2 linked regions of the Xenopus tropicalis genome follow. The protein of the gene in region 1 interacts with the protein of each later gene in a pairwise test. Links are inferred from orthologs where the notes say so. Each region holds a gene or a part of one and is shown on either strand. Other genes may lie near its edges.

What was found.
Region 2: the proteins of pogz (region 1) and creb1 interact in a two-hybrid assay, tested with the Homo sapiens proteins (2 studies listed by BioGRID and IntAct). The link is inferred for Xenopus tropicalis from reciprocal best matches to the Homo sapiens genes POGZ and CREB1.

What each region holds. Positions count from the first base shown.
Region 1 is NC_030684.2:144,795,115-144,799,725, forward strand, and holds the start of pogz (pogo transposable element with ZNF domain), read left to right. Parts: upstream 1-1,689; 5' UTR 1,690-1,897; intron 1,898-2,021; exon of another isoform or gene 2,022-2,043; intron 2,044-3,319; 5' UTR 3,320-3,373; intron 3,374-4,611. UniProt on the Homo sapiens protein: Plays a role in mitotic cell cycle progression and is involved in kinetochore assembly and mitotic sister chromatid cohesion.
Region 2 is NC_030685.2:49,782,856-49,787,375, reverse strand, and holds the start of creb1 (cyclic AMP-responsive element-binding protein 1), read left to right. Parts: upstream 1-1,495; 5' UTR 1,496-1,629; intron 1,630-4,520.

The sequences.
Region 1 (4,611 bases):
GAAGCCATTTTAAAGGAACAGTAACACCAAAAATTAAAAGAGCTTTAAAGTAATAAAAATATAATGCACTGTTGCCCTGCACTGGTTAAACTAGTGTGTTTGCTACAGTAACACTACTATAATTTATATAATAAGCTGCTGTGTAGCCCCGGGGGCAGCCATTCAAGCTGGAAAAAAGGAGAAAAGGCACAGGTTACATAGCAGATAACACACAAGTTCTGTAGAATACAATAGTGTTTTATCTGTTATCTGCTATGTGCCTGTGCCTTTTCTCCTTTGAATGGCTGCCCCCATACTACACAGCAGCTTATTTATATAAATTATAGTAGACTTTCTGAAGTAAACACACAACTTTTACCAGTGCAGAGCAGCAGCAGATTATATTTTAGTTACTTTTATACACTTTCATTTTTTGGTGTTACTGTTCCTTTAAATAGGGCCATTGGGCCATTTCATATTTTCATTAATGACACAGGCAGCCATATTGCTACTAACAGGGAAGCAGGAGGCCATTGATATGACAGTAATTAAAGACAGAAGCAGCCATATTGTTACACTGACAGCCATATTAAATAGCCATTGGACAATTATTATTCTACATAGTTATTAGTGACACTGGCAGCAATATTGCTACACACAGAAAGATTGTTATGAAAGACTTTCTAATGACACACTGACACACATATTACACTGTTATTACACACAGTTACTAGTGACACAGGCAGCCATATTGCTACACACAGGAAGACACTGTTATTAAACACTATTATTGACACAAGTAGCCATATTATGACACTGACAGCCATATTAAATTGGACCATTGTTATTTTTACAGTTATTAATGACAGGGGAGCCATATTGCTACACATAGGGAAGTAGAAGGCCATTGTTATTACACACAGTCATTAGTACCACAAGCAGCCTCATTATTAAAGTGGAAGCCATATTAAATAGCCATTGGGCCATTTCATATTTTCATTAATGACACAGGCAGCCATATTGCTACTAACAGGGAAGCAGGAGGCCATTGATATGACAGTAATTAAAGACAGAAGCAGCCATATTGTTACACTGACAGCCATATTAAACAGCCATTGGACAATTATTATTCTACATAGTTATTAGTGACACTGGCAGCCATATTGCTACACACAGAAAGATTGTTATGACAGACTTTCTAATGACACACTGACACACATAGTACACTGTTATTACACACAGTTACTACACACAGTTACTAGTGACACAGGCAGCCATATTGCTACACACAGGAAGACACTGTTATTAAACACTATTATTGACACAAGCAGCCATATTATGACACTGACAGCCATATTAAATTGGACCATTGTTATTTTTAGTTATTAATGACAGGGGAGCCATATTGCTACACATAGGGAAGTAGAAGGCCTTTGTTATTACACACAGTCATTAGTACCACAAGCAGCCACAATATTAAAGTGGAAGCCATTTTAAATAGGGCCATTGGGCCATTTCATATTTTCATTACTGACACAGGCAGCCATATTGCTACTAACAGGGAAGCAGGAGGCCATTGATTAAAGACAGAAGCAGCCATATTGTTGCAGTGACAGCCATATTAAAACACATTGAGCCATTGTTATTTCACACTGTTGCTGCCCCTGTCTATTCCATCAAGGGTAGGGCCTTGCAGCCGTGACGTCACGGACCGCCTCAGGCAAGCAGCCAATCAGGAGACGCGGAGGAAATGAAGTCACGGTATCCATCCGCGCCGTGTGGCCCGTGTCCCTCCGCGCCGCTCTCCCCTCTTTGTACGCAGCTGGCGGTTAGTGTCCGGCGGGTGTGACCGGGGGGAGGGAACCCCGGGGCGGGACCGAGCCTGGGAGCGAACGGGGCTGCGCGGCAGTAGGAGGAGGTAAGAGGCCGAGTGGGCGGGAAGGATGTACGGGTAGGCCCTGGGGCCCTGCAGTGTCGGGGTGCGGGAGTCCAGGCCACAATGTAACCTTCCACCTCCATGTTGCTTCATGGGGATTATTTTGTGAGGAGGAGCATGGTGTAGGGGTGAGGGCTCCCTGCTGTGAGTCTGTAGTGGGGTGTAAGCATCAGCACCCATGGGTGGGACAGCACCAAGGGGAATGGGGGGCTCACACAAGTGAGGGGTGGGACAATGGCAGCACCAAGGGGCCCCTCAGGCACAACTATATTATTATTATATTGCTGTGTATGTATATATATATATATGGCTGCCTGAATGCACACAGCTATCCCTGTCATGTACTGGCCAACTGGCCCATATATATATATATCATAGAGATGTGCGCGCCCAACGTTTGGGCCTTTATTTGCCCCCTTCCTCAGGCCGCAAGGATTCCCAGCCCCGCGGGTTTGACTCTGTGTGTATATATATATATATATATATATATATATATATATATGGCTGCCTGAATGCACACAGCTATCCCTGTCATGTACTGGCCAACTGGCCCATATATATATATCATAGAGATGTGCGCGCCCAACGTTTGGGCCTTTATTTGCCCCCTTCCTCAGGCCGAAGGGATTCCCAGCCCCGCGGGTTTCACTCTGTGGCCGTAGAACCGCATTTATGCGAATCCAGTTGCCCAATCCGTGATCTCCGGCTTTAGCCAATGAAATTGGAACCTGTTAGGGTTTAAAGGGGAAATATTGCGTGAAAAAAACATATGAATTGTACTTATCTCCCTATAGAAGGAATGGGCTTTAAAAAGTAGTGTTTTGGGTGTATTTATTGAAAATATCTTTATAAAACTCCACTAGTCCCGCCCATCTGTCCCACTTCCTGCTGGTTCCTTTCCCAGGCCCGCCCACTTCACCTTAGCACAGGAACCAATCAGCAGCTAGGCTGACCTGATAGGGACCCGAAGGCTGTCTGTGCTTGTGATTGGTTCTCCCACTCCTACTGTGCTTCTGGCAGGGACCGTTGGGACACGCCCACCCCTCATATGAAACCCAGACAGGGACCTGAGAGGATCTATAGGGAGCTCCAATAAAGGGGCCATTGTTACAGATTAATGTTTAGCCCAAAGGGAAACCAGCAGGTCCATTCCGTTTGTGTCCATATATTCTCTCCTGTGGGATATAGGAACTCTGGGTCGTTACCATGGTTACCTTTGGGCACAAAGTTCTTGTTCTGCCCTCGGATCATACCAAATTGAGCCCCAAACGGAATTTCGTTGGAAGTTGCACAATGTGTACCGGGCGCTGGGCCCAGAGCACCGGGGAGCCGAGTTCTGTTGGGTTATTGTAAATGAACCATAATTGCGAAATAATGATTTCTATTTATTTTTGATGTTTTTAGGATTAAAGGCAGAACTTGCAGCTGAATTCTCCGTGTCCAGGGATCAAATAGAAGGTACTGTTGGACTCTCGGCTCTGTCGCTGTATGTAGGAGGTTGGACTATTGGTTGGACTATTACAGTTGGTACATTAGTTGGTCAATTTCCCAGCAGCCCCTTCAGCCCCTACTGAGCATGCTCCCTGAGCGTTACTAACGTCTGTCCCATAGCAACTGTTACAGTTGGTACATTAGTTGGTCCATTTACCTGCAGCCCCTACTCAGCATGCTCACTGAGCGTTACTAATGCCTGTCCCATAGCAACTGTTACAGTTGGTCCATTAGTGGGTCCATTTCCCAGAAGCCCCTTCAGCCCCTACTGAGCGTGCTCACTGAGCATAACTAATGCCTGTCCCATAGCAACTGTTACAGTTGGTCCATTAGTTGGTCCATTTCCCAGCAGCCCCTTCAGCCTCTACTGAGCATGCTCCCTGAGCGTTACTAACATCTGTCCCATAGCAACTGTTACAGTTGGTCCATTAGTTGGTCCATTTCCCTGCAGCCCCTACTGAGCATGCTCACTGAGCGTTACTAATGCCTGTCCCATAGCAACTGTTACAGTTGGTCCATTAGTGGGTCCATTTCCCAGCAACCCCTTCAGCCCCTACTGAGCATGCTCACTGAGCGTTACTAATGCCTGTCCCATAGCAACTGTTACAGTTGGTCCATTAGTTGGTCCATTTCCCAGCAGCCCCTTCAGCCCCTACTGAGTATGCTCCCTGAGCGTTACTAACGTCTGACCCATAGCAACTGTTACAGTTGGTACATTAGTTGTTCCATTTCCCAGCAGCCCCTGAAATGGAACCATGAAGGATTTATAAACCCCAAAGTATGAGTATGAAGCAGTACAGGGGTATATGTAGCCCCCAAGCATGGTTGCAGAATGCCTACTGCCTCTAATACCCCAGTCCATACCCCGGAACTGACTTTGTGGCAACAAGAACACCCTGACTCTTTTGCATTTAGGTCTCCTCAGAATTTTCATGGGGTTCCACGTGGGTCTTTATTTCAGCATGGCAGATACACTAAACTCTCACCCCCCCCCCCCCCCCCATTTGCTGGTTATAATGGGCGGAGTCTGCATAGGGAAGCCACGCCCTGCTTCATTTGGCGCTCTGTGTTTTACAGATTTAACAGAACCCAAAACGCGTGTCAGCTCTGGGGTCACGTCTTTTGGGGTTGGGATTTGGCACATCCCTCTGTTTTTATAGTATATTTGTTTCAGTGAAACATAAAGGACTTTGGTTGAATCAGAT
Region 2 (4,520 bases), on another chromosome or scaffold:
AATGTACTGTTGCCCTGCACTGGTAAAACTGGTGTATTTGCTACAGAACGCTCCTATAGTCTATATATAAATAAGCTGCTGTGTAGCCATGGGGGCAGCCATTCAAGCTGGAAAAAAGGAGAAAAGGCACAGGTTACATAGCAGATAACAAATAAACTCTATAGAATACAATCACATTTTATCTGTTATCTGCTAAGTAACCTGTGCCTTTTCTCATTCGAATGGCTGCCCCCATGGCTACACAGCAGCTTTGCTTATATAAACTATAATAGTCTTTCTGAGGCAAACACACCAGTTATACCAGTGCAGGGCAACAGTGCATTATATTGTAATTACTTTAATATGCTTTCATATTTTGATGTTACTGTTCCTTTAAAGTTGGCCATACATGGCAAGGTCACTAAACGGGCAAATCTTTCACCCGATATGCCTACCTTGGGTGGGTGATATCGTGCCCCATCACATTGCAATGAAGGGGATAGGAAAAGCCAGATCAAGGACCACATCAATAAGCCAATGCAGTCCCCGATCCTGCAAAAAATCAAGCACGTACAATCAACATCTGGATCATTTTTGGCCAGATATCTGTTGGGGGGGTTCTGTCGGAGGGTCCCATGCAGGGGCAAATAAGCTGCAGAGTCGGTCTTAAGGAACAGAATTAGCATCTGAAATCTGGCCCCGTATGGCAACCTTAAGTTGCAATGGAAAAATAGTTACACCAGCACACCCTTACCTCCTCCAACAGGTTAGCTACTTGGTGCACGGCCCAGAGAGTCCGCACTCTCCGCAAAGTCCAGTAAAAATGATTTCAGCCGGCACAACAAGTAAAGTGCAAGTGGGGTATAACCCCTGCGTGTTTATTCAAGGCAACGTTTCGGGGGCGAACCCCTTCATCAGGCCACCTAATACTCAAGGTGGCAAGTACACTATAGCGTCATAAGCACTTCATGAAACAGCTCCGATTTAAAAAGAAGAAGGGCGACAGGGTAACGTTATCTGTTCTAGAATCGTAATAAAACTATCAGACTAACCTGTAAAACATGAAAACTAAACTGATAGCTTTAATCACAACAACGGCACTGTTCATTCAGCCAAAGCAGCCAAAGCACAGGTAAGGTCGCCGCGGGTAACCAAAGCCCGTTTCTCATAATTCCCACACTCACCAACCTTAACTGCCTGTTAGCTCTGTAGCTTTACTGCAGCCTGTGCAAGTTGTCGCATCAGTAGATACACGGGTTTCCGCTTACAGTGTCGGAAAGGGGTATTGGGAACTGTAGTACAACTGCAGCAGAAAGGTTTTACTAAGGCCTAACTTCTGCGCCTGCCCAGATTCCACCCTGCGCTAGCTCCGCCCCGCCCTCTGCTGTTGGCTGCCTAGTCTGTCGAGGCCTTCCTCAGTGTCCTGTCGGAAAAGAGCCCGCCGCCCTGACGCCGCGCCCGGGCCTGAGCTTAAGAAAAAAAAAAACTAGCGCCACCACAAGAGGAAGAAGAGAGAGCAAGAGCAGCAGTGACGCGGCGGAGGTGTAGTTTGACGCGGTGTGTTACGTGGTGGGGAAGAGAATAAAAAAAAGCCCAGCGAGATCCCAGCCGCGAACGAAAGCAGTGACGGAGGAGAGGCAGTGTAACCCGGTAAGAGGAAGGAGGAGGAGAGGGAGAGGCATGGAGGAAAAGAGATGGAGCAGGCCTCACCGCCGGCTGCTTTCACAAATACCCAGGCGGCAACTGATTGTAGGGAGGGATTTCTGGGGGCTGCCAAGAACAGCGCGCCGGCTTTTCCTTCGAGCTTGCTTTCCCGCCTGTCATGGTTCCCCTTTTTACCCCCTTAGATAATACAGAATGTTTACCCCGCCATAGTAAAAATGGAGACCGTGCGGAGGGGGTGAAATAAAGAGCCGCGAAACAAAGGATAATGGCGGCCGGGAGGAGGCAGCCGGCGGCGGCAAGAGCTGGGGTGTGCGATACAGCCACAGGGGGTCACCGGTGGGGAGACCTCCGCAATCTTTCACTGTCGCGACAGTCAACGGTGCTTATCACGACACATATATATATATATATATATTATATATGTGTGTATGTATATATATATTTTTTTTTGTGGCTTGTTAGATACATGCGACTAGTATCGTTCATGTTTTCCCGCAATATAGTCTTCATTCAAAGGGGAATATTCATGATGCGATGAACGAATTCTTCTTTTCCTCCCATATTTTTTAACACTACTTTTTAAAGTTAAATTTCTTTTTAAAGTTTAACGTGACTCTTAGGTTATTATTTATAAACAATGCTCCTACCTGCGGCACTCCAGCCGGGGTCGAACTAAAGGTCCTGTCAGGATGAGCTGAGGGCTGCATATTAGTAGCTGAAGGGCCGCAGGTTGGACTTGAGTGGCTCGCTAGTTGGTACAGAGGGAAAGCAGGCAGGTCTTTTTGCTGAGCATGACTTCATTTCGAATTGTTAGTGGGTTCCTGAAATATCTGATCGTCAGGGTTCACCAACTGTCTGCTCTTCTGGCAGCAATGGGTAGATATTTTTATTTTTTTACTGTATATTCTTACCCCAGCTCCCGGGCATCCTTCTAGTCATGGTTTAATAGTTGTCCACTGGTTGGGTAACAGCAGCATCAAGGGTCAGTGTAGACTGGTGAGGGTGAGCTCTTTGACCAAGATTACCAGAGGGAGGTTCCACTAATCCTGCTTTTAAAGCTTCATATTTATGTGACCCTTGTTCTGCAGTTTTTTTTATCCTGTGTTGAATGTTTGAAGCTCTAAAAACAGAATTGGCCCCAATGTCTCTCTGGCAGTCTGTGTATGTATTTTGACACATTTTTCATGAAGAAATGAAGATTGTAACATTTCAGAGATTTCCATGTTTCATCCAAGACTGGTACGGTTTTCTTGTCCATATATTTTGTTGCACTGCAATCCCTTATTGAACTTCCACATTATTTCCCTCATGCTTGCTCATTACTTTTTGTTTGATGAAAACATCTGGACAGTGAGAATAAAATTTGTTTATAATAGATCTTTACATTTTGTTTTATTTAGTATTGTCTACTTAATGCAGATCTGCATTTAAAGTATGTCAGGTATGATTAGACTTCAAAAGTATGAAATCTACATCACCTTAGTAATTGCAGGGAAGCATTAAAGCACAACTTTTGTGGTACTCAAACATTCTGCCAAGTAGAGGGCTAAGGACCCCAGGTTCTAGAAAGCTGTAATTTGTATTGGTCAATTTAGAGACCCAAGTTCTAGCTTGTCCGTTTGGGGCTAATATGTGAATACCCAAAGCACTCATTTACACACAATTAAACTTGCTAAAACTTCATTGCTGGTACCCTATAACATGGCTTCAGGGGGGTTGGTACATATTAGTGTGCTCGTTAATTCTAACATTTATAAGTGACCTGATATCGCTTAAATATTAATTGATTTAATTTGAATGCAGACAAACATAGTTTGGCTTTATTTGTGATATTTTAATTTAAGGCTTAAATATTTCAGTAATTAGAATACTGTTTTATATTCTTGGTTAATGGCAAACAGTTATAGACTTCTTTAGAGATGTTTTTAAACACCAAGTAAACTTTACAGTGCATATAGATGGATTTCAAAGGGTTCCCCCCCATAAGAATGCTGTTTTTCCCTTGAAATGCAATAAAGTTAAAAACAAAAATGCTTGCATTTTATTTTTTGTATTTGTGTTTTGCTTATTCAGTCACTTCCTGTTAGGCGGGATAGGTTGTTTTTTTTTCCCAACACTTTGAACATTCTCCTGTAAGTCTGCCTTTTCAAAGCCCCTTTCCAGAAACCCCAAATAAGCTGCATGCGTATTTTTTTTTTTTTTTTCGTTATACTCTAGTTATTGAACACTTTCATAAATAGGCAGAGATCATCATACACTTAAGCTCTGAGGTATATTTCAAAGTTGTTTTCATTTTAATAATACATTAGATGAAAACTTTCTTTTTATGCAAGGGCTTTGCAGGTTTTCATTTTGATTACTAAAAGGAAAACAAAACTGATAGAAACACTATGAGGGTGACACATACCTCTCCCATCCTAGTATAATAATGCTGTTAAAAACCTGTAGCTGTGGCCTTTTATTATAGTACATAATAATAGAGAAATGTCTTGTATGGCAAATTCTAGTATATACCTTTGGCATATTTTGCTGAGTGAATCCCAGTCTGTCCATAAGATAAAATAAATCTAAATAGCAGGAAATAAATATTGTATAATGAGACGCTTCCCTGTCTTAAGGCCTGTGATATGTCATATATATAAGTGTGCAAAAGTAGCACAGAAATGTTGAGCTGCTTTTCACACAGCACATTGCCGTATAGAAGTAAAGCGTATTTATTTTGCTGTGGACGGTCTGCAAATCTGCATAAATAGAACAGAAAACAGTGCATATAGTATATGTCTCTGAGATTTATATGTTCTTCAGCAATTGTATTAACACCTCCTGTGCAGGTTTTAGTTTTGAGTCAACTTTTTCCAGATACATGTATGGGATCC